Callithrix jacchus: one gene and its partners. The protein of the gene in region 6 purifies or fractionates together with the protein of the main gene of each other region. This does not show direct contact. Links are inferred from orthologs where the notes say so. Each region holds a gene or a part of one and is shown on either strand. Other genes may lie near its edges. The genes, in order: SUPT16H, GPATCH2, ARK2N, GPATCH2L, RPS6KA1, CSNK2B and DCAF7.

Region 1 (3,940 bases), on a different chromosome or scaffold from region 6:
TTCCTTTGTTCTATATTTGCTCAAACCCAATGTGAGTATTGATTTTGGGAGGTGGGTAATTTTAGCACCACGTTGCTGAAGTTAAGTACTATCCATACTAAATTACCTTGGATAGAGCAGATTAAGTCATTTGTACTTCTCTAAAGGGCATAATGTAAATGTAGACAGTCCAGCTGCCTAAAGGCAAGGGAATTCTTTAAGGTAAAAGGAGGACAAACTTCTGGATTGAAACTCCCAAGTTTTTAGAAGAAACAGGAAGCAAGCATTTCATCAAGAACCATGTACATTTTGTTTCTAATTACCTGAAGTAACGGTTCTTTGGGGGGAAGGCATAGAATAGTGTCACTTTTCATGAACTGCAGCAAGGGGACTGGCTGACTGGAAGGATGCTCAAGGGATTGGGGTTGTGGAAAGGAACTAAAGGTGTGTGAAGCTCCTCAAGTCATTTATTTCCTCTGACTTCTACCATCCCACTGCTCAGACAAAGCCTGGGCATATAATTTTCCTTTCGAAAGCTAGGTTCCTTCCCATAGCTTGGATCGTAGTTTATCGCGAGGCTGGGCTCCATTTCCTAGGTATGAGATCTCTGTCCCGGCGGACCGCTTGACCGAGCATTCTGGCACCAAGGATTCCTCTGGCCCTGGAGCAGTTAAAGACGTGTATCCCCCATCGTTTCCAGGAGGGGCGCGTGCCCAGTTACACTGTTGTATTTCCACTTTTATCCCACGCTGCATCCCGCTCTTTCCGCTCCCCTTCTTTTGCTGATGGGGTGGAGCTATCACGCCCGCGCGCGGCAGCTCTTGTTGGGCTGCGCAGGCACCGCCTTCTTCGCTTCGCCTAGTGGCTGCCGCCTCGGCAAAAAGTCTGAGGTCCTGGAAACCGCGGCTGGGCTGAGAGTTAAGGGCGGAGGCAGACCGTCACGTGACGACGTAGATTCGCGTGCGGCAGTGGCGAAGTCCACAAAACCCCGCGAAAATCGACTCTTTGCATTGCAGGTTTTGTTGATTTTCTTCGTTTTTCTTTCTCTCCGCCCCCTACCCATCCGAGAGAGGATTTAAAAAAAAAAAAAAAAAAATTCCTAACGCTGTCGGGACCCGGAAGCGGAAAGGGCATCTTTGAGGTCGATACTTCCGGGTCACTGGGAGAGTGCGGGATTCCTGGGCCGAAAGCGGGTGGCAGAACCGGGACTTCGCGTGATTCTCGGAACCCGAGGAGAAGCGGTGTCCGGGGCTATGGCTGTGACTCTGGACAAAGACGCTTATTATCGGCGAGTGAAGAGACTGTACAGCAATTGGCGGGTGAGGAAGATCCCGTAATTTTTCTAGGGAGCCCCCTCTGCCATCCCATAATAACCCTGTTTCTCGGCGCCCTTTTTTCTTTTTCGGTCGGGAATTCCTGGGTTCAGGGTCTACCCCTTTTCGTTGCTCCCGAATCGTTCACGGGAGGCGACCACGAACGCTGCCCCGTAACAGGGAATCCCCCGCATTCACCCTGCTGCGGCCATCACCATCCACCCCGCGTGCCAGCCTTGATCATGCATAACACAGCACTTCTCGCAGTCTCTTCCCGCCCTAGAAGAGGCAACATCCTTCCCTCCTACTCCGTGGTAACGTCTTGCTGCCCCCTCCTGCGGTGTTCTTACGCACCCACGCACTCGCTGTGCCCCTCCGGAACCACAATATTCCACCCCTGGTCCCGCCAGAATTATAACCGTCTTCGTAAAGGAGAGATGGAAGGGCAAGGAGGATGCCAATCGGACTCTTAGCCTTTGTCATTTGCGGGGCTTTTGCTGGAGTTAAAAAAAGAAATACTGCTCACGCGCAATCGCCTCCTGTTCTAGGCCCTGGTGTGGGTTAGAGAGAGAGAGAGAGACCTAACGCTGAAAGCCTGCAGACAAAAGTAATACCAAAACAAAACGATGCCTAAAACCTTATTAGTTCCTTGGTTGTGTATCTGTGGGCACGTGTTCAGAAAAAGAGCTGTGGCAGTTCTCAGTTTTTTAAAGATAGGCAGTTTTGCTGCTTTAAAAACGGCCACAGTTTAAACATTTTTATGATACTAACTTGAGCAAACACTGGGTTGCTTTCTGTGATGCAGTCTGAGTTGACTAGCTTGTCTTGCCTCTGAATCCTGTCATCAAGGAAGATACAGCTAATAAAGATTTTTTTAATTAAACCTGAAAAACATTTTGAGAAAAATCAGTTTTCATTTCAGCTTTGTAAGTTATGGTTGAAACTGATCCTCTGCTAAAACCAAGCCATTGAAATTGGTTATTTCCTTGCCATTCCTATTAAAGATGCCTGTGCATGTTTCATCTTTTGAAGCTAAATACATTAGATAATTGAAAATAAAAAGGATTCTCAGTTACATTTTATGAAAAGCAAAAATAAAAACTCAGTGCTAGATGAATGCTGAACGTTTTAATTTTAATTTTTATTTAATTTTTTTTTTTTGAGATGGAGTTTCGCCCTTGTTGCCCAGGCTGGAGTGCAATGGTTTGATCTCGGCTCACTGCAACCTCCACCTCCCAGGTTCAAGAAATTCTCCCTCAGCCTCCGGAGTAGCTGGGACTATAGGCGTGCGCCACCACGCCCAGCTAAATTTTGTGTTTTTAGTAGACACGGGGTTTCACCGTGTTGACTGGGATGGTCTCGGTTTCCTGACCTCGTGATCCGCCTCCTGGGTCTCCCAAAATGCCGGGATTACAGGCGTGAGCCACCACACCCAGCCTGTTTTTTGAACTTTTTAATTAATTTCCACCTAATGATTTTTTACAGCTTGTCTCACTGTCATATTATTATTCAAACATGATCTATGTTAGAAAAACGTTTTAAAACCTTGATACTTTCTAATGATCGGTAAGTACTAAAAATCTGAAACCCTCTTTTCTACCCATAAACTCTGAAACTATACACCTTTGATACAAAATTGTTTCTAGTCCCAGTGATTTAGATTCATCAAATAATTTCATTCTCTCTATACCATTCATAAAAGCTAATGTGTGGCTCTAAATTCTCCTACATGATGATTAACTGTGGCCTGAAGATAGATTGCCAAACCTAATATAAAACGATAGTCTTTAAATCCATGAAAGTTATTCCCCACCCACCATTTTTTTTGTTTTGTTTCTCAAAAATCATTAAAATTTATTTTGGCCCTCTTATTATCTTAGTGACATCATCTTGGGAAAATGTTAGATACTGATAAGACACTCACTGATGGTATAAATAAAGTTATGAGCCAAATCTGTGTTAAAATGTACCATTTAACAAAATCTGTGGCTATTATGAATAAAACTTTCTGCTTTTGTGTTAATAATATGTCCAGAACCCACCTGTAGAAGTTCTTTTTGTATGCAGTATTCAGCATACGTGCTTTCATTCTGATGTACTTAATCAGGGATAGTAGTTTTCTGGGATAAATCTGGTTTCTTATCCGCCTGGATATAGCAGAAACATAGTGGGATATATAGGTGTGTTGTATAACTTTTTTCTCATTTACACCTTTTCCTTTTTTAGTAAGAAAACTGGGATTGAAATAGAATAACTTAAAGTTAATGGTAAAAATTCCAAGCCTGGCTGGGTATGGTGGCTCATGCCTGTAATAATCCCAGCACTTGAGGCCAGGAGTTCAAGACCAGCCTGGGTAAGATGATAAGACCCCCGTCTCTACAAAAAGAGAAAAAGCAAATAAATTAGCCAGGCAGGTGGTCTGCACCTCTAGTCCCAGCTACTCGGGATGCTGAGGCAGAAGGATCCCTTGAGCCCAAGAGTTTGAGGCTGCAGTGAGCTATGACTGCGCCATTGCACTCCAGCCTGGATGAGACCTCGTCTCTTAAAAAACAAACAAACTAACAAAAAACAAAAAAAGAATCCCAAGCCTTGTGCTGTCAGCTTCCATTAAAAAAAAAAATCCATATTATGACTAAAATTAAAGAATG
Region 2 (3,966 bases), on a different chromosome or scaffold from region 6:
CCGCAACCTCCGCCTCCTGGGTTCAGGCAATTCTCCTGCCTCAGCCTCCTGAGTAGCTGGGATTACAGGCACGCGCCACCGTGCCCAGCTAATTTTTTGTATTTTTAGTAGAGACGGGGTTTCACCATGTTGACCAGGATGGTCTCAATCTGTTGACCTCGTGATCCACCCGCCTCGGCCTCCCAAAGTGCAGGGATTACAGGCTTGAGCCACCGCGCTCGGCTCATTTTTTGTATTTTTAGTAGAGACGGGGTTTCCAGGATGGTCTCGATCTGTTGAACTCGTCGTGATCCACCCGCCTCGGCCTCCCAAAGTGCTGGGATTACAGGCTTGAGCCACCGCGCCCGGCCTGATACTTTCATTTTAAAAAGGCAAATGAGTCAAAGAACAATTGAGTTCAGTGACGTTTGTGAAATCCTGGAGGCTCAAATCCTTAGGTAGATGGGGAGCAGTCGGAAACCAGTGGGCTAGTGAGCCAGGGTGAACCCCAGTCAGGGTATTGAACCTTGAACCCGAAGAACATAGGTTTCATCAAATCACAGAGTGGTGATATCGAAGAAAAACACTTTACAATTTTATCTATGCTGAGGGTTTCCCTAAATCCTCTCACACTGAGTATCTATGGCCCCTATCTATTTAGAATTTTGTTGTATGGTAATACAAACAAACGATTATGTTTCCAGCCCATTAAGGGGAGAATTGGGTGTTACTTAATGAATTAGGGAAATCGTTAATTGGAAACTCCCGCTGAGGAACAACTGATAGCAAGTTCTGCCAGCCCTTTACGCGATCCTTCTCTTTCTGACTTACCTGTTCCTAAAGTAGTACTCATTTCCTACAGTCAACGACCTAGCTTGCAGCCAGGCTAAAGTGGCCATGGTCTCTTGGCGTTGGCTTACAACTGCTGTGCCTACCGGTGTCCATGGTAACTGGGCTAAACCATAGCTCACTCCCGGGGGGGTTCCATTGTTTGCTCACTGCTCTTTTCTCTGACGCTATTTCGACTTTAAGAGTACTAAAAAGACAACTAAGAAATTTCTTTGCAGCACAAAAAGTTTAATTTATTTGTCTCTGTCTCTACTGCGAGTATGAGGAGGGGATTATAGGAAGGGAAAGCAGTAGGCGAGGAGAACTAATGGTTGCTCCAGGCATCCGGTTTCGGCCTCAGTCGGCTTCCGGAAGTTCATCTCAAAATGCTGAACTGTATTTTGCAAGTCGCCGGTGCTGTAGTAGTTGGAGTCTGTTCACGGGCCTGAGCCTGTGGCCAGGCTCTTGGGTGTCGTTAATGTTCGGGGCCGCCGGGCGCCAACCGATCGGAGCTCCAGCAGCCGGGAACAGCTGGTGAGTCTGGCGGCCCTGGGGAGGGGGAGGTCAGGGAAGGGTGTGATGGCCTGAGGCCGCTCCGCTGGACCTGGAATGGAAGCGGGAGGGAGCTGTGATGGATGGTCTGAAGACATCTAGGCCTTGCTCTCACTCATTCCTGAGATGCACGCAGTTTGAGGGAGCTTTTGAGAGTATGCCAAAAAATTGTGAAAGAGTACAGTAAATGTTTGCTGATTGCTTAGCAATATTTTGGAAGTCATGCTTCCTGTAATCCCAGGAGCGGTTTTATCTCCTCATTGATTGTTGACAAAACTAGGCACAGGAAGAATTTATCTTAATCTGGGCCTTATTCCCCACTCCTCTTTCAAAATTCACCAATTTATACTAAGTCTCTTGGAAGATAAGTTCAATAATGGAAAACACATCACTCACCCCCTTTTTTGGAGGGGGGAACCTACTTCCACCCTCTTGAACATTCTAAGTTCAAATGAGATGTGTATGGGGGTGTTCCAGGAACTAATTTTACAACCGTTAGGATTAAGTTTGGGGCTTGACTATGTCTATGGTATCATGTCACCAGTGCCACGTTAGAATAATATATTGCTTTGACTTTAAAAGATATTTTCACAAATTAATACACTTTGTCTTATGACAGCCCTGTGATACCAGAATATCAAAAGCACAGAATATCCAAGTGTCTTGTCCACAGTTGCCCTGTACATTTTAATCCTAGAGCTAGGATCTGGGTTTTGGGATTTCTAGTTGAATACTGTAATATCTGTCCTATTTTTCTCCCAAGCCCTTTTCTTCCAAACGTAACACAAGACAACCAGTGAAACAATCAATTTCCTACTGAAAACCTTAAACATAAAGTTTTGACCAACAGGTGAAAGAAATGTGGCTAAACAGTGCATGTTCATTCCTAGATTCTGCAAAAATTAGAACATGAGGAAGTCTAATAGTCTGTGATCTTCAAGAATTATTTTACATCACCTATCATTGCAAAGGTATCCAAAATCTTTTTAGTTAGGGCAGGTCATCCTGTAGTTAAGTTTATAATGAATATAGATTTGATTTTACTCTTTTTAAATTATCACATTTTCTAGTGAGAAAAGTAGGGAGCACTTTTTAAATGAACCAATTTTTAATGGTGTAACTAGCATAGAATGAACTGCATAATTCTTAAGTGCTTGATTTTATTAGTTTTGGCAATTGTATATACTTATATAACCACCACGCAAAACGAGATAATGGACTTGCCCATCATCCCACAGTTCCCTCTCAAGGATACCTTTCTTAATGTTTCACCATTCATTATCTTTGTAAATCAGGGAGATAAAGTGTCATCTGTAGATTGGTCTGCTCTTCCTAGGGCACTCTTGATTTGTAGGATAGGTGACTGCATCAGAAGAGGACTGATTCTCTCAACTTCTTCTGCCTTCCAAATCGTGATTATGTACTGAGAGAAACCTCCTTCAATTCTCTTTTAAAGGCTCTCTTGTCATACAACCATTTCCTATGGCACCAGAGTATAACAAAGTGGTAGCAGTTAGTATTTTTGAATGAAATTCTTAAAGTCATTCCTGTTTTGGCACAATGAACATGTTCCAAAAAACTGGAACTTTATTTTTTAGTCTGCCTGTATGACTATACAGTCATTCCAGATTCCTTAATGGAATTTTCTTTTTCATTAATTGGACAGATATTTACTATACAACATATATGTGTAATCCCAGTAATAAATTCCAGTCCCACTGGGAATACAGCTACTAAGCAGTTAACTAGGTGCCAGGTTTTACATGCATGTGTCGTCTCATGTAAATCCTTTGAGGTAGGTGTATCATTCTTTGTGTTTTAGATAAGGTGATGCAAAAGCAAAGATGGTTTAAGTAACTGGCCTAAGTGTATTGTATTTGCAGGATGATTCCAATATACCCCCCCCCCAAATTCTTAAATAACTTGTAGATTGCCTATGTCTCTGAATGAGATACAATATGTAAACTAGCAGTTATATGTCCAGATTTATTAACCAGTCTGGAATTTCTAACTTATTTAGCTCCCATCTTGACTTTCTCTTTTCTTTTTCATTTCTTTTCTTTTTTTTCTGAGAGAGAGTCTCACTCTGTTACCAGGCTGGAGTGCAGGGGTGCTGTCTAGGATCACTGCAGCATACACCTCCTGGGTTCAAGGGATTCTCCTGCCTCAGCCTCCTGAATAGCTGGGACTACAGGCACATGCCACGACACCCCGCTAATTTTTGTATTTTTAGTAGAGACAGGTTTTCACCATGTTGGCCAGGATGATCTCGATCTCTTTGACCTCATGATCTGCCTGCCTTGGCCTCCCAAAGTGCTGGGATTACAGGCGTGCACCCCCATGCCCAGCTCATCTTGACTTTTTCAACTTCTCTCCAATTTGGAGGTTGCTGTTTCAATTTTTAGGCACCAGGTGGATAAACGTAGGTAATTTCTTTACTCAACTATGGTATTCTGTTTTTTTTAACTTTGTTATGTGGCTTTGCTTTTAAAAAAAGCTGTTAAGATAAACTATATTGACTCTGGAGTTTTGTTTCTGTATTTTCATTCCTATTTGGTATTTTGATTTTATTGAAATCTGAAAAACTGAAAAATCTGAAATCTGAAA
Region 3 (3,500 bases), on a different chromosome or scaffold from region 6:
ACCAAAAATGTTAAGGACTTAACTGTATAGGTCATAAGCTCTTGAGATTAAATATTATGTCCTGTACCTGTATGGTTAATTGGAGTTGTATTACTCACAGTGGTGGCAGAGTGTTAGTTTCTAAATTTAGCGTACAAAGTGTAAAATGGGTGTAGAGTATTTTCTCTTAAACCCCTTAATTCAGTCATAGAATATACTGAGTTTTCTGGGTTCTGTATTTAGTGACCATTGTTGATAAAACATCCATTTGAACACTAGACTCATGTTCAGCATGATGAGGTACGTGGGAACTAGGTAGGATTCAGGAAAGATAGATTCTGGCCTTTCATCTTAGTGTTTCACTAGAGCAACTCCTATTGAGGGGACTGCAGACAGGTTTGATGCATAGTATTTGGTTGCTCATTTGCCAAATGCATGTAGTTGAAGGAGGGAGAGAGAGAGAGAGAGAGCGCGCGAGAGAGAGCGAGAGAGAGAGTGAGAGAGAGAGAGTGTGTGTGTGTGTGTGTGTGTGTATAAAATATAAGTGTAGGAGCCAGGCACAGTGGCTTACTCCAGTAATCCCAGCAGTTTGGGAGGCCAGGGTGGGTGGAACACTTGAGCTCATGTGTTCAAGACCAGCTTGGGTAACACGATGAAATCCTGTCTTTACAAAAAATACAAAAATTAGCCAGGTGCAATGGTGTGTGCCTGTAGCCTAAGCCATTTGGGAGGCTGAGGCAAGATAATTGCTTGAGCCAGGGCAATGAAGATTGCAGTGAGCTGAGATCGCACCATTGCACTCCAGCCTGGGTGGCAGAGTGAGACCTTGTCTCAAAAAACAAAACAAAACAAAAAAGGTGTACATTTGATGTTTCTATACTGTAACTCCCCTCCCCCACCTCCTTTCTTTGAGGATTTGAATGTAAAAGTAGTCATTCCAGCTATTGCATTGTTTTCTAGACTAGTTTTAAAGCATTCTTTTTTCATTTATATCAAAGTTAATAAAGGCATATCAGAGTTTTGAAGATTTCTTTCTTCTTTTTTTTTTTTTTGAGATGGAGTCTTACTCTTGTCATCCAGGCTGGAGTGCAGTGGTGTGATCTTGGCTCACTGCAACCTCTGCTTCCCAGGTTCAGGCAATTCTCCTGCCTTAGCCTCCCAAGTAAGTGGGACTACAGGCGTTTGCCAGCACGCCTGGCTAATTTTTTTTTTATAAAGGAAAGGAGAGGAAAGGAGAAAAAGGAGGAAGGAAAGGAAAGGAAAAGGAAGATAAAGTATTGTTTTTAAGTTTTGGTGATGCTACTTAAAAGTGGTAATCTTTTTTTCTTTTTTTGGGGGGGAGAAAGAAAGAAAAAGAGGTGAAGGAGAAGAAGAAAGAGGAAGAAAAACAGGGAGAAAGAACGGAAATGTTGCTTTATTCTAAAAAATGGGTATTAATAATGGCCAATCAATATTTCATTTAAACCTATGAGTAGGTGTGATGTGGTATTGACAAGAATGTATATTTTGTGTATTAAAAGTGGAGAGCTCTATAAATATTAAGTTTACTTGTTCCGGATCTGAGTTCGAGTCCTGGATTTCCTTATTAATTTTCTGTCTCATTGAGCCTAAGTCTCTATGTGTCTGGGTGTTAGGATCGTTAGCTCTTATTGTTGCATTGATCCTTTTACCACTATATCTTTGTTGCTTTAAAATCTATTTTATCAGATGCGAGAATTGCAACTCCTGCTTTTTATTTATTTATTTATTTTTGCTCTCCATTTGGTTGGTAAATCTTTCTCCATCCCTTTGTTTTGAGTCTTTGTGTATCCTTGCATGTGAAATGGGTCTGGATGTAGCATACCATTGGGTTTTGGCTGTATCTTTTGACTGGGGGATTTAGTCGATTTAAATTTAGGATTACTGCCATTTGATGTTAAGTGGCTGTTTTGTCCATTCGTTGATGTAAATTCTTCTTTATGTTGATGCTCTTTTTGGTATATTTTTAGAAAGGCTAATACTGGTTGTTTCTTTCTACGTGTAATGCTTCTTTCAGAAGCTCTTGTAAAGCAGGCCTGGTGGTAATAAAATCTCTGAGTACTTGCTTGTTCATAAAAGATTTTATTTTTCCTTCAGTTGTGAAGCTTAGTTTGGCTGGATATGAAATGCTGGGCTGAAAGTTCTGTTCTTTAAGGATGTTGAATATTGGCTCCCACTCTCTTCTGGCTTGTAGAGTTTCTGCTGAGAGATCTGCTGTTAAGTCTGATAGGCTTCCCTTTGTGGGTAATCTGACTTTTCTCTCTGGCTGCCCTTAGTATTTTCTCCTTCGTTTCTCCTCCTAATTTTTTGTATTTTTAGTAGAGATAAGATTTCACTGTGTTAGCCAGGATGGTCTTGATCTTCTGACCTCGTGATCCACCCACCTCAGCCTCCCAAAGTGCTGGGATTACAGGCATGAGCCACTGTGCCTGGCTGAAGATTTCTTTCTAGAACACTAACATCGTAAACTTAAAATGTTTGTTACCTGTTGGCCTTGTAAGTTCAGTAATAGAGGATTAATATTATGGCATTTTTAGATTTTGATGGTATTAAGTCCTTTGAATTTGACTGTTGATCAAACAAGCAGATAATAATACCTGTATTTTAAGGACCTGTGTAATGGTAAGTTTTGCTCTACCTAAAAATGTAGGCATGTTGCCGGGCGCGGTGGCTCACGCCTGTAATCCTGGCACTTTGGGAGGCCGAGGTGGGTGGATCACCTGAGGTCAGGAGTTCAAGACAAGCCTGGCCATCATGGTGAAACCCCATCTTTATAAAACAAAAAATTAAAAAAAAAAAAAAAAAAGAAAGGTAGGCATGTTGTTGTGTTGATTAAATAATCTGCCATTTTGTTTATTGACTTTGTGTGTTTTTGTACAGGTTGCTTTCCTGTTGCATCTTTGATATCATTTCCTAGACTCTGCTTCATGATTTAACTTGAAATTCTGAAATGAAGATGGAGGAGGCAGTAGGAAAAGTTGAAGAACTCATTGAGTCCGAAGCCCTACCAAAAACGTCCGAACAAGAGACAGCCAAGGAGGAAGATGGATCTGTAGAACTGGAATCTCAAGTTCAGAAAGATGGTGTAGCAGAGTCTACTGTTATTTCTTCAATGCCCTGCTTGTTGATGGAACTGAGAAGGGACTCTTCTGAGTCTCAGTTAGCATCCACAGAGAGTGACAAGCCTACAACTGGCCGAGTTTATGAGAGTGACTCCTCTAATCACTGCATGCTTTCCCCTTCCTCTAGTGGTCACCTGGCTGATTCAGATACGTTGTCTTCTGCAGAAGAGAATGAACCCTCTCAGGCAGAAACAGCAGTAGAAGGAGACCCTTCAGGAGTATCTGGTGCCACAGTTGGGCGCAAGTCTAGGCGGTCCCGATCTGAAAGTGAAACATCCACTATGGCTGCCAAGAAAAACCGGCAATCAAGTGATAAACAGAATGGCCGAGTCGCCAAGGTTAAAGGTCATCGGAGCCAAAAGCACAAGGAGAGGATCAGGT
Region 4 (4,230 bases), on a different chromosome or scaffold from region 6:
CCACCTCGGCCTCCCAAAGTGCTGGGATTATAGGCGTGAGCCATCGCGCCTGGCCCAATACATTATTATAGTTGATACTTTATCCAGTTTTCCTTAGTTTTTACCTAATGTTCTTTTTTAAATTGCAGTGTCACAGCCAGGATACCATATTACATTGTCATGTCTCCTTAGGCTCCTCCTGGCTCTGAGTTTCTCAGACTTTCCTTGCTTTTGCTGACCTTAACCATTTTGATGAATACTGATCATGCACTCTGCAGAATGTCCCTCAATTCAGGTTTGTCTGATTTTTCTTTTCTTTTCTTTTTTTTTGAGATGGAGTTTCGTTCTTGTTACCCAGGCTGGAGTGCAATGGCACGATCTCGCTCACCGCAACCTCCACCTCCTGCGTTCAGGCAATTCTCCTGCCTCAGCCTCCTGAGTAGCTGGGATTACAGCCACGTGCCACCATGCCCAGCTAATTTTTTGTATTTTTAGTAGAGACGGGGTTTCACCATGTTGACCAGGATGGTCTCGATCTCTTGACCTCGTGATCCACCCGCCTCGGCCTCCCAAAGTGCTGGGATTACAGGTGTGAGCCACCACGCCTGGCCTGATTTTTCTTTTCTTATAATTAGACTGGGGTTATGAGATATGGAAGGACACTATCATAAAGTGCCATTCTCATTACATATCATTCCACATACTATCAACATGATTTAGCACGTACTCTTGGTCACCTGGCTGAATTACTGTTTGCCAGGTATCCACTGTAAAATTACTCACTTTCCCCTTTTCATATGTTGTACTTTTGGGAAAGAAGTCAATATGCAGAGCCCACATTTAAGGAGGTGGAATTTATGCTCCAGGATGGTGTGTCTGCATACTTTGAGATTCTTCTGTGGGGGATTTGTTTCTTCTCCAATCTTTAATTCATTCAGTCGTTTATTTATATCGGTATGGATTCACGAATATTTCTTTTATACTTTGAGTTATAATCCAGTATCACTTGCTCAAGGCAGTTTGTAATGTTCTGAGTAACTCAGTGCAAAACAACCCCCCCAAAGGTTGTACCAGCTCACAGGGCAGATGTCATTAAGATCCATTTCCCCTCAACTTCGCACACCCTTTATAAAGGTCAGAAAGCAAGGGGGAAGCTGACAACCCTCCCTAGCGTCAATTTCTGGACGCCCCTAAGGAAGATGAGGCCAGCCTGCTGGAGTAGTTCCCAACACGGGCACCTCAGCCCCTGAGGCGCCCTTTCCCGGCCAGCCCCTATTCACCATCCTTCCTTGGTCCCTGCCCCATCTCCCGGCTTCCTGCAGCCCCGCCCACCTCAGGGCGGAAGTGGGTGTGGCCACGGGCGGAAGCACTGGGTCGGGGGCCCGCTCTTGCAGCCAGCCCCACCCACTCGCCGCCGCCCCACCCCTCCGGCCCAGAACGGAAATGAGGTCAGAGAGGGAAACCCCGGCGGTGAGAATCGGCCCAAAAAGCGGCGGCCGTTCGAGGTGGCTGCGGCAGCTGGTGAGGGGGTGGAGTGGGTTGAGAGTGTTGGGGTCCTGAGGGCTAGGGCCATAGGGGATCGGATCGCCAAGCAGCGGCTGAGCGGCTAAGGGCGTCTTGGGGCTGCGGCAGCCGGCCGGAGGGTGAGGGTGGTGGGGCCTTGCTTTTTCAGGGCCCATGTCCCTATCCCTGGGGGTGTGGGTCGGACAGTCTCCGGGGCCACAGCCCCCTTTTCCCCTTTCTTTCTGCCTCTTTGGGGCTGGCGGCAGCATGAGGGCTTGGGAAACGGGCCATGGTCGCTCCAGCCCTCAGGGACGGGCCGGGGCGTGGTGGAGAGTCCTTCGAAAACAGTTTTTCTCACATACGTGGCCATGTTGCGACCCCCGATCCCGGAGGGAGCTCAGTCGCTACGACTTCCATTTTGGCAGTTTCTGCTCTAGAATAGCCGAACCCCGTCCTTGGTGAGCCCAAATGAGAAGTTGTCTCCTGCCTCTCGCATCTCCTACTCCGCCCCTCACTTCCACCCTGCTCCTGCCTCTCTTCTTACTTGCTGTCCGCAACTACCAGTTCCTTCCTGTGCGTGACTCAGCCTCATCTCTACCCGGGTGCATGCCTGGTCGCCGAGTCCTCTCGAGAGTGTGCACTCGACTGGAGATGGAAGCCCTAGGGACCTTCTGTCACCTACTGTTCGAGTTGCAGGCTTTGATGCAGGAAAGGATTCTGCACAGGCATTCGACTACTGACTTCGTTCCCTGTTCAAGTTTGTGCTGTTCTGAGGTTTTTGTTTGTACTTTTGTTTTTGTATTTTTGTCGCCTGAGTTTTTAAAGCAGTAATTCTTTATTAGGGAAGTGGATTTAGGCATGCTGTTCCCACTTGTTTCTCTATTTTGGTCTTAGGGACAGTTGTCTCCCAAACCTCAATCATGGCATTTTTAACCAGCTCCCCCCCCCCCATTTTTTTTCTCCTCTTTTCACAGGTGTTGATAAATCACTTCTTATTGCTTAAAAGAACTTGGCCTTTTAAAAGTGTATGTGCCTTTGGACAGTTTGAGAAGCTTTGTTTGTATGGCAGTTTTGGAAGTAGGTGTCACCATTGCTCCTAAAGGTGTGGCAGATAAGCCAGAGGACTGTTTTCCTGCCTTTAAATTCATTGACGTAGGCACGGCATGAAAATAGTATTTAGAAAACGCTTTGCAAAGTGAAAACTGAATGAATGGAAATATGGTCAGAGTGGCACCACATAGAGTTTTAAGCTCTAGTTTTGATCTTGAAATACTTTGGGCACAGGGGCAACGAAAAAAGTGCTAAAAATTTAATATGTATTTAATTAGGTGCTGTACAAATTATATTAAACATTTCCCCTTAAGAGGGAATTTTGAAGATTGCTCCTACTGCTCTCGTTTCTTGAAATGTTTGCCTCTGAAGTGACTCCTGAAGTGTGATGTTTGGTTTGAGGATGGATAGAAAAATAAGAAATTTTGGAAAGCAGTTCGGCCAGAAATCTTAGAAACTTCAACTTATCCCTGTCATTTCAGCTGCTGTCGTATCATTTTTTTCCAGTGATTGTGTGGCACTGAAGCACATAAGTAGGATGAACATTTATTTTCTGAAGGATAGGAAAGGGGCTTAAAAATTGTTAATTACTCAGAAATATATGACATACTATATGAGGTTCTATACCTGGTAGCTTTCAGGTGGTAGTTGCTACCAGAATGGGTGCAAACTTAGTCTATTCTCCTTTCTGACTTCAAACCTGGGCACCACAATTTCTTGGATCACAAAAACTGCAGTCTTCTTTAAAGGGTGTCACTAAGTTGTCTTTCTGCCATGGCCATGGAAGGCAGTGACCCCAGGCCAAAGAGCAGTTTTTTATTCATTCTTAATACTCGTTGAGACTGTGTCCTGCTCTGTGTTTCCACAGCTCTGCTGTGATTTTGAAGTTGTGTGTTTTTCTACTCCTGTCTAATGACAATCTCTAATCTTTCTGGATCTCATCATTAGGTAATTCAGTGACACGTTTAATTGGGGAAAGAGAGACGGGTCTAGTTCCCCAAATTTGTTTTGGGTCCTGTCCCAGTTGTCATCTGGTGAGCAGGTTTTTGTGCTTAAGGATATGTTGACTTCAGTCATTTAACAAGGGACAGAACACCTATTTTTAGTGACTTAAGGAAGTGGTAGGAACAGAATCTAAGTGTAGCCAGATGAAAGGTTACTTACTTTGTTTAGGCAGGCGGAACTATGGACTACTATGATCTGTTTTATCAAATTATTCCAAAACAACAGATCCTTTCAGGCTCTCTTTTTCTTTTTCTTTTTTTCCCCTCTGAACTTCCTTTTGGGAGATGTGGCCTCATGGATGAGCTGGTACACGACTTAGCATCAGCCTTGGAGCAAACATCTGAGCAAAATAAGCTTGGTGAGCTGTGGGAGGAGATGGCCCTGAGTCCCCGGCAGCAGAGGCGGCAGCTTCGGAAACGCCGAGGTCGGAAGCGTCGTTCTGACTTCACTCACCTGGCAGAGCATACCTGCTGCTACAGCGAGGCCTCTGAGTCAAGTCTGGATGAGGCCACTAAGGACTGTCGAGAAGTGGCTCCTGTGACCAATTTTAGTGACTCTGATGACACAATGGTAGCCAAACGACACCCAGCTCTCAATGCCATTGTTAAGAGTAAGCAACATTCTTGGCATGAATCTGACTCCTTTACTGAAAATGCACCTTGTCGACCACTCAGACGCAGGCGGAAGGTGAAG
Region 5 (4,147 bases), on a different chromosome or scaffold from region 6:
ATTGCACTCAGGAGATAGTCCTCTCAGCCGATAGCTGGACCCCCTCAGGTCCTGGCATAGGAGGAAAATCCTAGGGAAACAGACAACCTCAGAGGTGGGTCTCCAAGAAATATCAGACTGCTCTCTTGAGTTTGCAGACTGTGCCCCTTCTTCTCTTTCCCCACCCCAAGTACAGCAGCAAGAACCCACAGTTCCATGCTTAACCCCTCCCTGGGGATCCCTGCCCTGCTGCCTGCCTGCCTGCCTGTGTGTCTGCCGGGCATCAGACCTATCTGTCCTAGGTGTCTGCCAGTCTACTTGGGCCTCACTGACACTGGCTGTTTCTCTTTGCTGCCTACCTGTGTCTGTTGTTGGATTACAATCTCTGTCTCCACTTGATAAGTACCTGCCTTCACCTGTTGGGCACATGTCACATGTTAGGTGCCTGTTGTTCATGTCCCCTTCTGTCTCTACCTGTTGGGTTTATGTCTTCATTTATCTCTGCCATTGGATACATGTCCCCTCTGTCTCTGCCTGTTGGGTACCTGTCCCCTTCTGTCTCTGCCTGTTGGGTTTATGTTCCCTTCTGTCATTGCCTGTTGGGTTCGTGTCCACTTCTGCCTCTGTCTGTTGGGTTCATGTCACCATCTGTTTCTGTGCTGTTGGATACATGGCCCCTTCTGTCATTGCCTGTTGGGTTTACGTCCCCTTCTGTCTTTGCCTGTTGGGTACATGTCCCCATCTGTCTCTGGCTGTTGGGTACATGTCCCTTTCTGTCTCTGCCTGTTGGGTTTGTGCCCCTATCTGCCTACACACATTGGGGATGAGCTTCTGTTCACCTCTGTCTGTTAGATATGAGTCCCTTCCTGCTGCTTCTTGTTGGGTACATGTCTCCATCTGTTTTCTACTGGGTATGAATTTCTCCTGCCTCTGCCTGTTGGATAGGTATCCTTATCCATCCCTGCCTGTTGGGTATGTGTTCCCTCCTGCCCCTGACTATTAGATGCCATTCTTATCTGTTTCCACCTCTTGGGTGCCTGCTTCTGCCTGTTGGGTGTCTCTCTTCGTCTGCCTCCACAAATCAGGCATCTGTCTTTGCCTGTTGGGTACCTATCTGCTGTTGGGTACCTGTCTGCTCAGCAGCTGCATTGGCAGGGGGCTTTCCCCTTGCAGGCCTCTGCAAAGGGAGGATGGGGGAATGGCCAGAGGGCAGCCCTCAGACACTGGGGAGTGGGGAGAGAGGAAGGGAACGTGGTGAGGGTGTAGGCCTGGAGCTGGGAAACCACAGACCCTGAGTGATTGGCTGCCCTGGGCCGGGCCCAGCCCCCGCCCTTACCCTGCACATCCGCCTTGGTCCGGGCCACCTCCGCGGCAGCCCTGGTCGCTGCCTGCTCCTGCCATGGTGCTGTGGCCCTGCTGGGCGGATGGAGCAGGATCCCAAGCCGCCCCGTCTGCGGCTCTGGGCCCTGCTCCCCTGGCTGCCCAGGAAGCACCGGCCCAGGATCAGCCAGACCTCTCTGCCTGTCCCTGGCCTTGGCTCTGGCTCCCAGCAGGACTTGGTGAGTGTGCCCGGATGTCTGGTCCTGGCCTGGCTGTGTCCCTCGCACAGGTGCCTGGGAAGCTAGCTTAATGCAAGTTGGCTTTGGTCTGTCCTGGCCCTGCCAGGGGTGACTGGACCCTGCCCAGACTTGCTTCCTGGGGAGGTGAAGAGGCACTTGAGGGCTTCAAGGTAATACCAGCAGATTGGAGGGAGGTTAGAGTCCTGGAACAGTGAGGCTCTGGCAAGGCACTTCTAATAGGTTTGTAGGAGGGAAGTTTGGGAAGATGAGCCATGCAATCTCCGGCCTTAACTCTGACCTGCCCCAGGCCAGCGCTGACCAAGTCGATGGGGGAGTTTGGGTGACTCTTGGGTCTTTGTGCACCTCAGCCCTGTCCTACTGACCAGAGGGATCCCTCTTCCCATCCTGACCAGGAATGAAGGCCCAGCTCTACCTCCCCATATGAGAACAAACCTACTTCCTATTGTGGCAAAACTAAAACAGCAGGGGGAGGGAAGCCCCACGGGCAGACCTGGGACAGGTCTCTGGGTCTCAGCCAAGTCGGGTTAGCTGAGCCTGGCCATGCCTGGGCATCCCTCTGGGCCATCCAGAGCATCAGGAGCAATAGGAGTGGTACCTTTTCTGGTTTGACCTCACCAACCTTTGAGGCCCTTTTGAAATTGATGTCCCTGGAGGCTAGCCCTTCAGGGAAGTCATCTGTTGGGCCTTTAGGTCCCATCTGCTGCGGTCTGGTGGGAAGGGACTTGGGCAGGGGGGATATGCCTCCTGCTGCCCAGATGGGGCCCACTGTGCCCACCAGCTCTATCCCTCCATCAGGATGAGGGCGTCCTCAAGGAGATCTCCATCACGCACCACGTCAAGGCTGGCTCTGAGAAGGCTGATCCATCCCATTTCGAGCTCCTCAAGGTTCTGGGCCAGGGATCCTTCGGCAAAGTGAGTCATGAGCCCATGGCTGTGAAGGCAACGTTGGTCATGTTGGAGGTGGGGATCAAGGCTCACCTATGGGCCCAAAGTATCAGAGGTCACCTTGGTACCCACGGAGAGCAAAAAGGTCAGCTTGGGGCTCAGAGAAGATACAGGTCATTGGCCAGGCGCAGTGGCTCATGCCTGTAGTCCCAGCACTTTGGGAGGCTGAGGTGGGTGAATCACAAGGTCAGGAGGTCAAGACCATCCTGACCAACATGGTGAAACCCTGTCTCTACTAAAATACAAAAAATTAGCTGGGTGTGGTGGTGGGCACCTGTAGTCCCAGCTACTTGGGAGGCTAAGGCAGGGGAATCACTTGAACCCAGGAGGTGGAGGTTGCAGTGAGCCGAGATTACGCCACTGCACTCCAGCCTGGTGACAGAGCAAGATTCTGTCTTAAAAAAGTAAAGAAAAAAAGAGGCTAGACATGGTGGCTTACGCCTGTAATCACAGCACTTTAGGAGGTTGAGGTGGGCAGATCACCTGAGGTCAGGAGTTCGAGACCAGCCTGACCAGCGTGGAGGAACCCCGTCTCTACTAAACATGCAAAATTAGCTGGGTGTGGTGGCGCATGCCCGTAATCCCAGCTACTTGGGAGGCTGAGGAAGGAGAATCGCTTGAACCTGGGAGGTGGTGGTTGTGGTGAGCTGAGACCACGCCATTGCACTCCAGCCTGGACTCAGCCCTCTCCCATCTCCCATCTTATCCCCTGCTTCCTGCTCTGCCTTCTCAGGTCTTCCTGGTGCGGAAAGTTACCCGGCCTGACAGTGGGCACCTGTATGCCATGAAGGTGCTGAAGAAGGCGACATTGAAAGGTGAGTAGGGACACCTCCCTGTGCAGAACCCAGGCTGGGCTGAGGGAGGCAGCCCACACTTCAGGGACCTTGGTTCTGGCAAGGAAGACAGCTCTGTCTTCAGAGCACCTAGTTCAAAAGCGGAGAGACAGGCCTATGTCTCAGCCATCCCTCCCCACCCAATCCCCTTCCCCTAAGCCAAGTGCCAATGACTGGCTGTGAAGGTCTGGAAGGTAGTAATAGGATAAATGCATGGCTGGGCGCAGTGGCTCACGCCTGTAATCCCAGCACTTTGGGTGGCTGAGGCGGGGGGATCACGAGGTCAGGAGTTTGAGACCAGCCTGGCCAAGACGGTGAAACCCCATCTCTACTAAAAATGCAAAAATTAGCCAGGCATGATGCCTGTAATCCCAGCTTCTCAGGAGGCTGAGGCAGGAGAATCGCTTGAATCTGGGAGGCGGAGACTGCACTCCAGCCTGGGCGACAGAGTGAGACTCTGTCTGAAAAAAAAAAAAAATTGGATAAATGCAATGTGTTTTTCAGGGGAGGGACCCTCAGATACCAAGCTGGTCTGGCAGAGGCGTTCTGACTATTGGCAGGGTTGCTTCATGATGCTAGAAGAGTCTGAGGGAGACCTCTGTGGCCTCTAACTCATGGGCCTGAGAGAACGGCATGAGTAAAGAGGCAGGGAGCCCAGGGAGGCAGCTGGGCAAGGCAAGAGAGGGTGAGTCCAAGCAGGACCACAGTGCTGGATAGCAGAGAGGTTCAGAAGGGAGCCCAAGTCAAGCTTAGAGTTCTGGGGACTCACAAAGGGTGTGAGGATAGTCGGTAGTGGGCTTTGGGTTGGGC
Region 6 (4,114 bases):
AGGTGAATAAAATGGAAGGGGTTGGCAGGTAGGTGTTAAGAGAAGAGGCAACTCCCTTCTCAGCCCAACCCACATCACTCTGTCCCCCACTCCTCCCACCTCTGTCCAGAGGCCCCTTCACTGGCCCAGATGGGCTCTCAAACTCCTATGTTGCCTTTCTTCCAGTTAGGCAGACAACAAACCATCAGAGCCATTCACTGTTTGTTCCTTGAGGAAGAGCCAATCTATAACAACTCTCTGTTCAAGGTCTGTCTCCCTCCCTGAAAACGATCCCTTCAGGATGACCCCCAATCAGGATTAAATTCCAAGGCCCAAGTTCTGGGGTTCTTCCCCTCTTCTCAGCTAGCTTCCTTAGCTGGGCTGAAACATGACTTCTTGCTGCAGGAACCTGTTTCTCTTACTGCTCAGAAAGAGGCAAGTGGGAGCAGAGTGGCCTCACCATCTGGGCAATGCCACGGTTGGTAAGGATGTAGCGGGCGTGGATCAATCCATAAAGCATCTCGGCTGCCTGCTCAATCAAGTCACTCTGGTTGGGGTTGTCTTCCAGTTCTTCATCTGAAACACAGCCCAGCCAAATGCAACCACTTGTTTTTCAGCTTTCCTAGGTGCCCTGCCCATACCCAGGGGCTGCTAGCTATTCAGTTTGCCTAGCACCTACTTTTGAGCCTTACCCTATCCAACACCTGGGCATGTGACCCAGAAACCTGGGCTTCTGACGCTTTCACCAGCCCAAGGCAGAGCTCTGCCTTCTCTTCACACCTCGTCAGCCTCTGCCCTCTCCTCTCCTCTCCTCTCCCTCCCAACTCCCTCCTCAATACATAAATGCGACAATATCAATGCAGAAGATCAAACTCCGGACTAGAAGGTCCAAGGTAGGAGAAACAGACAGCAAATGAGACCCATGAGGAAACCCATTTTGGAATAGATCCGAACTGTGGATTTAAAAAGTATGGGAAACAAGTGATAATGCGTCACAAAACTAGACAAGAGTCAGGTGGAGGATCAAAATAAAGCATGAATTTGGGGTTAAGAAAATCAGAGAACCAAAGGAAATTTCAAAATTCAAGCAAGTGAATAGGGATCTGAAGAGAAAAAAAAGTACACGCACACACACAAACAACCCTGAGGGTGCCTCACCAGGCTCCAGGTCCAAGATCATATCTAGAGCTTGTCGATAGTGAGGGACCTGCTCATTGAGTCCAGTAAGATTAAATTTGTCCTGGATGTAGTCTTCATCCACCTGTCAGGATATGGAAGCCAAGAGGGAACCCATGTCAAAATCTCCATCTTTAACGTGAGCAAAATGCTCTAACTGATGCCTTGTTATCAACCTAACTGCTCTGTTCCCCCTTGTTTCTCACTTGAAACTCAGCAGAAGTACTCGCGTCTCTTCTCTGTTCACCTATACTCCCTCCCATAAAAGCTTTGGCTTTTGTTTTCTAAGGATAAGCAGGTACAGCAGTCTTTTTCTTAGAGAGACATTCTTTTCAAGATCTCTATCCTTATTCCTGTCTCCCATCGCTAGGAACCATTTTGTCCTCTCAGCTGGCTAAGGAAGGTGGAAGCTGAACAGCCTGGTTTCTGAACAAAAGATTTGGATACGTAGCATTTCAATTCTCCTAACGGCCACCTGAGACAGGTACTAGCAGTGCCACTTTAGTAATAAAAGACACACGCTGGGTGCACTGGCTCATGCCTGTAATCACAGCCCTTTGGGAGGCCAAGGCGGGCAGATTACCTAAAGTCTGGAGTTCGAGATCAGCCTGGGCAACCTAGTGAAACCCTGTCTCTACTAAAAATACAAAATTAGCTGGGCGTGGTGGCAGCCACTTGTAATCCCAGCTACTTGGGAGGCTGGAGCAGGAGAATCACTTGAACCTGGAAGGCAGAGGTTGCATTGAGGTGAGATCACACCACTACACTCCAGCCTGGGTGACAGAGCAAGACTCGGTCTCAAAAAGAAAAAAAGAGAAAGTCACAAATTGCCTAGTCCAACGTTATATTGCTGGAGGATGGCAGAGTTGGGACAGGCCCCAATTTTGCCACTTTAGCACAGATTTGCCGGGGGTTACTGAGGGGACTCTTCATTGATGGGAAGTTTTCAAGTAGCATATAAGAGAACGATGAGGAAGTGGAATATGTGGAGAAACGTCTAGTGGGAATCTATGTGGAGCTGGCAAGGAGGGGGGTTGAAGAGAACTCACTTCACAGAAGAATTCATTGCCACGGAGCCCACAGAACCAGGAAATCCAGGACACCTCCTCTGAGCTGCTCATCTTCACGTCAGCTGGAAAACGAAGAATGTCAGTAAAGCTCAAGTTCTCCCTCCTTGCCTCTGGTATCCTCCCTCCTCCCACATTCGGCCCTCCAACCACGGGAGACTTTAGAATTTGGAGCCGTCCTTTTTTAAAGGATCCCAAACTCTGAAACACTCCTCTCCAGCTCCTCTAATTTACGTCTCAGCTCCTTTTCTTTGAGGTTAAACACACTTTGGGGTCCCACCACTTGAGAGAACCCAACAGATACTTTGACCCACCAGCCTGACCCACATCCCTGGAGCTCCCGAAGGCCAGGGCCCTCTCTACTTTGTGTCACCTCCAGCACGGACCTCGGCTCAGGCTCCCTACCACTGCAGCTCTCTGCATGACCCCGGCGCCTTTCCCAAGCGTTTCGAAGTTTATCATTCTCTAGCAAGAGCCGGGCCCCTCCTCTTCTTATGGGCTGGAGCGACCGTCAAGTCCCTTTCACTGGAGTCCACACATCTTGCCTCCGCTCCTCAGGCCACCTCTCCCTCCTTTGTGCCGGACCTGGTCGCTTCCTCCCCCGCCCCCACATCAAAGTACGGAGACCCCATGTGCTGCTCCCAACAAGAGACTCTGAGTAGCGACGACCTCAGACTCACCGCCTGGACGGGGACCAGGACTGGGGTGGGGTAGGGAAGTCGCTAGTTCCAAAGAACGGCGGCGACCGCTACAGCGCAGGCCGCGGACCCGACCGCGGCAAGAGAAGTGGGGTGGGGGGGAGTGGAAATTGGGGAGGGTGGGGAAGAGGGCAACACGCAAGCGCCAAGGGTCAGGTGCTGCGATGGATGCCGGGACACGGAGTCCCAGGTAGAAAGAGAAACTGGTGAAATGAAGGAAAAGCGAACTACCAATCCCAGGAAGACCCGCGGACGACCTGGCTGTCACGAAGCCCCGGAGGAGGACGCTTGCGGGCGGGGCACAGCGAGAAGCCACCGGAAGCGGAAGCCAGGTATGACGTTTGGGGCCAGGGAGCCTGGGAAATATAGTTGTGTGCTCACTGGGAGAAAAGCCGAGATGGGGCGGGGAGAGGAGGGAGACACGCAGTTCCCGTCTAGTTCCGGCGCAGCGGGGCGCTGCTGCCCAGGGGACTGGCCCATCCCCGGCCAATCCGCTGGGTCCTTATTGATTGTTGAGCCCCTAGTGAGAGTCAGTCCCGCCGGACACCCTTGACTGGCCTCCTGTTACCCTCCCGGCTCTGGCCTCATGAGGCGAGAGGTGCAGTTTGGCTCCGTGCGTAGGGACTTGGGTTGGGTGGGCTGGGCTGAGCTGAGCTGAGCGTTGTGAGAACCAGAACGGCCCAGTGCGGTAACCTGAGGTGGGGCCAGCCATTTCGCTCGTCCCCTTGCACTTCTCCTTTTACGCTCTAAGTGTGACCTTAGAACCCTGGTCAGAGTAATGGTGAGGGGCAGGCGTGACGTTATTTCATTTCACGGCTTCTCGGCATTCCACAAGTTTCCCTCCGCCTCCTGAGGGCCTTTCCTAACACGGAGAGTGGATTCCCAGGTCCAGAAAATGGACTTGGAGCGAGGGGGCGGGGAGGGGGGCGGTTCACGTTGAGGAAGGCGAAGGGCATTGTGGGGGCGTATAGGTAAAAGTAGAACCCTAACCGACAGATCCTGGTGCTCGCGCCAGCGGGGCGCGCAGAGCTTTGCGCGTTTGCTATTGGAAAGGTTCCAGCGCGGGAAACTGAACTGGGAGCTTTGCGCACGCCTGAGCCCTCAAGTAATGTGGGTTGTGGTTTTTGTTGTTGTTGTCGTCGCCACGCATGCGTCTTCGTGCCGTGCGGCTGTTTGATTGTGTCAACTCTTCTG
Region 7 (3,500 bases), on a different chromosome or scaffold from region 6:
CTTCTGGTAACAGTGGGTGCAAAGCAACGAAAGACATACTGGCCACTGGAAACATGTTTCTTCTTACTTTGGGGTGGGGCAGAGGCAGGAAACACACAAGGCCCTGCCTCGTGCGCACAGCGCCACCAACATTACACTCTGAGTATCTCCAGGCAGTTGTTGTAGCAGATGGCGATCCAGTCGGGCTGAGTTGATGCCCACTGCACATTGTTGATCTCTCCTTCAGCTGTGTAGGCCAGGATAGGGTCCTCAATTGCTCGGGGCATTTGCTGGATGTCCCAGATGAGAGCCTGGTGGTCATCCGCTAGAGACAAAGAAAGCCAGCAAGCAAGGTCACAACTGAGGCAATGGGGATGATGATCCCTGTATTTCAGGAGCAAGTCACAGTTTACAAAGCAGTTGATCACCAAAACTCCGTGATGGAGGTTCTATTTTAAACCCCCATTTTATCGATGAAGAAAACAAGATTCAGAAATGTTAAGGCACTTGTCCCAAATCACACAGCTGTGCAGCCAGTGAGCAGCAGAGCCAGAACTCAAGTCTAGGCCTTGACTCCATCTTGCAGGTGTCCCTAGGCTCTATCCACTGCACTAATGAGCCCTTCTCACCTGGGTCAGGTATCAGGAGTGGACCAGGGGATACAAAACATGTCATTTGCAGCCACTTAAAATACTGGAGTTATAAGATCCTTCTCTGATCATTCAATATAATGAGAAGGTTTCTTCCCATTTATACTTCAATGAGGTATTATAGAGAAAGAAGACTGATAAAGTAGTGTTGATATGTGCTGTTAAAAAATTATTTCCTGGCTAGGCCTGGTGGCTCACACCTGTAATCCCAGGACTTTGGGAGGCTGAGGCAGGTGGACCACCTGGGGCCAGGAGTGGCCAACATGGTGAAACCCCGTCTCTACTAAAAAATACAAAAAATTAGCTGGGCATGGTGGTGCGTGCCAGTAATCCCAGCTACTCAGGAGGCTGAGGCAGGAGAACTGCCTGAACCCAGGATGCAGAGGTTGCGGTGAGCTGAGATTGCGCCATTGCACTCCAGCCTGGGTAACAAGAGTGAAACTCTGTCTCAAAAAAAAAAAAAAATATATATATATACAAATAAACCAGGCATGGTGGTGCACACCTGTAATCCCAGTTACTCAGGTGGCTGAGAATCACTTAAACGGGAGGCAGAGATTGCAGTGAGCCAAGATCATGTCATTGTACTCAAGTCTGTGCGACAGAGTAAGACTCCACCTCAAAAAATAAAATAAAATAAATAAATAAAGCCAAGAAAATATCTATGGGAAACACCAGAAAGAAGACAATCACCTTAAATATATAAAAGCACGTGAAAAATGACTAGAAGGAAATATATCAAAATGAGAATGGTGGCAATACTAAGATGGCAAGGTTATGTTTACTTTTCTCTAGTTCTGTAATATGTTCATATTACTTTTTGTTTGTTTGTTTGAGATAGAGTCTTGTTCTGTCACCCTGGCTGGAGTGCAATAGTGTGATCTTGGCTCACTGTAACCAATGCCTCCTGGGGTCTTCTGCCTCAGCCGCCTAAGTAGCTGAGAATTCAGGCGCACCAGCACAACCAGCTAATTTTTGTGTTTTTAGTAGAGACAGGTTTTACCATGTTGACCAGGCTGAACCTGAACTCGTGACCTCAGATGATCCACCTGCCTCAGCCTTCTAAAGTGCTGGGATTACGGGCATGAGTCACCGCACCCAGCTTACTTTTATAATCAAAATAGTAAGTTAATTTTAAAAAAAGCAAAAAAAAGGCAATGGTCTTCAGAGCTGCAGTTTACCCTGACTCTGCCATGCATTCTGATGAAAGCTGGTCTTAGATACACAGGGAATCTGAATAAACTAAGCCTTAATAGGCCAGGCTAATTATGGGCAATACTGGTATTCTACCGAGACCGCATAGTCTGGGCCAGGTGCAAGATCCCTCTCCCAGGGACAGTGTATACCAAAAGATCAGGGTATTGCCCTCTAAAGCACTAAGTTCCTTATCCTCAGTGCTCAACTGAGCACACTTGAACAACAGCTCCTTTGGTTGAAGGGGCTCAAGGCAGGTGCAACACACTAAATGACAGAGAGCAGGGCAAAGGCAGCAGTCAGGAGCAGAAAATGCAGCTTCTAAGGGGCCAGTCCTGCTTTCCATGAATGTTAGATGATACCTTTTCTGTTTCTTCCATCCCTCCCTGTCCACACCCCTAAAAAAATAAGAGGGCAATAACGAAGAAGACAGACCATAACCTGAGGTATATAAGGCGGCAGCATGCCCCCAACTGCTCTTCAAGAAGACATACAGGCATGAGCCCAGGGCCAAAATCAGGAGAAGCTTCATGTCTTCAAAATAATGCTCAAATGGCAGAAAAACACCAAAGTACATTGCTTCTTGGGCTTCATAACAAACCTTGTCCATTATAAGGATACTGATTAGCGAGGAGAAGAAAAATGCACACTAAAAAAGTTAAGGAGCAAAACACCACAAAGCTCGGACAGAATCCCATCGTGCAAAAGGAAGATGTATAGAATTGTCTTTAGGGGTATGGATGTACACTCCCGAATGTATACCAAAAGGGTCCGGAAGGAGACACATGAACTGTTGATAGAGGTCATCTATGCAGAGTGGGATGGAGGCAGAAATAATATAGGAAGGAGAAACAATGACTTTCACCTTAAACATGCCTCTGTACTGTTTTCATTTTAAATAACAGATTGGCATTCATTATAGAATAAAAGTGCACTGACAACCAGCATATTTTTCTTTTCTTTTTAAAAAATTTATGTTAGAGGCAGGGTCTTGCTTGGTTGCCCAGGCTGGAGTGCAGTGGCACAATCATAGCTCACTATAACCTCAAACTCCTGGGCTCAAGGGATCCTCTCACCTCAGCCTCTAAGTAGCTGAGACTACAGGAATTCACTACCACACCCAGATAATTTTTTAACTTTTTGTAAAGAGGTCTCACTATACTGCTCAGGCTGATCTCAAACTCCTGGCCTCATGCAATCCTCCCACCTCAGCCTCCTAAAATGCTACAATTACAGGCCTGAGATGCTATGCCTGGCCCAACATATTTTTAAGAGGTATTGCTTTTATTTATTTATTTATTTGTTTGGAGATGGAGTCTTGCTCTGTCACCCCGGCTGGAGGGCAGTGGCATAATCTCAGGTCACTGCAACCTCCACCTCCTGGGTTCAAGCAGTTCTCCTGCCTCAGCTTCCCAAGTAGCTTGGACTACAGGTGTGTGCTGCCATGCCCAGCTAATTATTTTTGTATTTTTAGTAGAGACAGGGTTTCACTATGCTTGTCAGGCTGGTCACAAACTCCTGACTTCAGGTGACCCACCCACCTCAGCCTCCCAAAGTGCTGGGATTACAGGTGTGAGCCACTGTGCCCAGTGAGTAAGGGGTACTCTCTTTGGTCTGGGAAATAGTGAAATGAAAACCACAAGTCACACACTGCAACCAGGGAAAGTTCTGTGGGGC

Evidence for each region.
Region 1: the proteins of CSNK2B (region 6) and SUPT16H fractionate together in Homo sapiens (co-fractionation; 4 studies listed by BioGRID and IntAct, with this or other methods). This does not show direct contact. The link is inferred for Callithrix jacchus from reciprocal best matches to the Homo sapiens genes CSNK2B and SUPT16H.
Region 2: the proteins of CSNK2B (region 6) and GPATCH2 purify together in Homo sapiens (co-immunoprecipitation; 3 studies listed by BioGRID and IntAct, with this or other methods). This does not show direct contact. The link is inferred for Callithrix jacchus from reciprocal best matches to the Homo sapiens genes CSNK2B and GPATCH2.
Region 3: the proteins of CSNK2B (region 6) and ARK2N purify together in Homo sapiens (co-immunoprecipitation; 3 studies listed by BioGRID and IntAct, with this or other methods). This does not show direct contact. The link is inferred for Callithrix jacchus from reciprocal best matches to the Homo sapiens genes CSNK2B and ARK2N.
Region 4: the proteins of CSNK2B (region 6) and GPATCH2L purify together in Homo sapiens (co-immunoprecipitation; 3 studies listed by BioGRID and IntAct, with this or other methods). This does not show direct contact. The link is inferred for Callithrix jacchus from reciprocal best matches to the Homo sapiens genes CSNK2B and GPATCH2L.
Region 5: the proteins of CSNK2B (region 6) and RPS6KA1 purify together in Homo sapiens (affinity purification with mass spectrometry; 4 studies listed by BioGRID and IntAct, with this or other methods). This does not show direct contact. The link is inferred for Callithrix jacchus from reciprocal best matches to the Homo sapiens genes CSNK2B and RPS6KA1.
Region 7: the proteins of CSNK2B (region 6) and DCAF7 purify together in Homo sapiens (affinity purification with mass spectrometry; 4 studies listed by BioGRID and IntAct, with this or other methods). This does not show direct contact. The link is inferred for Callithrix jacchus from reciprocal best matches to the Homo sapiens genes CSNK2B and DCAF7.

Annotation. Positions count from the first base shown.
Region 1 is NC_133509.1:55,882,703-55,886,642, reverse strand, and holds the start of SUPT16H (FACT complex subunit SPT16), read left to right. Parts: upstream 1-1,140; 5' UTR 1,141-1,232; coding exon 1,233-1,298; intron 1,299-3,940. UniProt on the Homo sapiens protein: Component of the FACT complex, a general chromatin factor that acts to reorganize nucleosomes. The FACT complex is involved in multiple processes that require DNA as a template such as mRNA elongation, DNA replication and DNA repair.
Region 2 is NC_133520.1:11,521,275-11,525,240, forward strand, and holds the start of GPATCH2 (G patch domain-containing protein 2), read left to right. Parts: upstream 1-1,166; 5' UTR 1,167-1,285; coding exon 1,286-1,341; intron 1,342-2,249; exon of another isoform or gene 2,250-2,330; intron 2,331-3,592; exon of another isoform or gene 3,593-3,771; intron 3,772-3,966. Other genes in the region: spermatogenesis-associated protein 17-like, read right to left, coding at 811-878. UniProt on the Homo sapiens protein: Enhances the ATPase activity of DHX15 in vitro.
Region 3 is NC_133514.1:89,266,856-89,270,355, forward strand, and holds part of ARK2N (protein ARK2N), read left to right. Parts: intron 1-2,877; 5' UTR 2,878-2,947; coding exon 2,948-3,500. UniProt on the Homo sapiens protein: AMPK substrate important for exercise capacity and skeletal muscle function.
Region 4 is NC_133509.1:111,081,051-111,085,280, forward strand, and holds the start of GPATCH2L (G patch domain-containing protein 2-like), read left to right. Parts: upstream 1-1,430; 5' UTR 1,431-1,500; intron 1,501-3,821; 5' UTR 3,822-3,831; coding exon 3,832-4,230.
Region 5 is NC_133508.1:63,192,467-63,196,613, forward strand, and holds the start of RPS6KA1 (ribosomal protein S6 kinase alpha-1), read left to right. Parts: upstream 1-1,347; 5' UTR 1,348-1,403; coding exon 1,404-1,538; intron 1,539-2,354; coding exon 2,355-2,471; intron 2,472-3,237; coding exon 3,238-3,319; intron 3,320-4,147. UniProt on the Homo sapiens protein: Serine/threonine-protein kinase that acts downstream of ERK (MAPK1/ERK2 and MAPK3/ERK1) signaling and mediates mitogenic and stress-induced activation of the transcription factors CREB1, ETV1/ER81 and NR4A1/NUR77, regulates translation through RPS6 and EIF4B phosphorylation, and mediates cellular proliferation, survival, and differentiation by modulating mTOR signaling and repressing pro-apoptotic function of BAD and DAPK1.
Region 6 is NC_133505.1:39,169,663-39,173,776, reverse strand, and holds the start of CSNK2B (casein kinase II subunit beta), read right to left. Parts: upstream 2,801-4,114; 5' UTR 2,685-2,800; coding exon 2,609-2,684; intron 2,288-2,608; coding exon 2,205-2,287; intron 1,241-2,204; coding exon 1,138-1,240; intron 556-1,137; coding exon 440-555; intron 1-439. UniProt on the Homo sapiens protein: Regulatory subunit of casein kinase II/CK2.
Region 7 is NC_133506.1:88,863,307-88,866,806, reverse strand, and holds part of DCAF7 (DDB1- and CUL4-associated factor 7), read right to left. Parts: intron 305-3,500; coding exon 132-304; 3' UTR 1-131. UniProt on the Homo sapiens protein: Involved in craniofacial development. Acts upstream of the EDN1 pathway and is required for formation of the upper jaw equivalent, the palatoquadrate. The activity required for EDN1 pathway function differs between the first and second arches.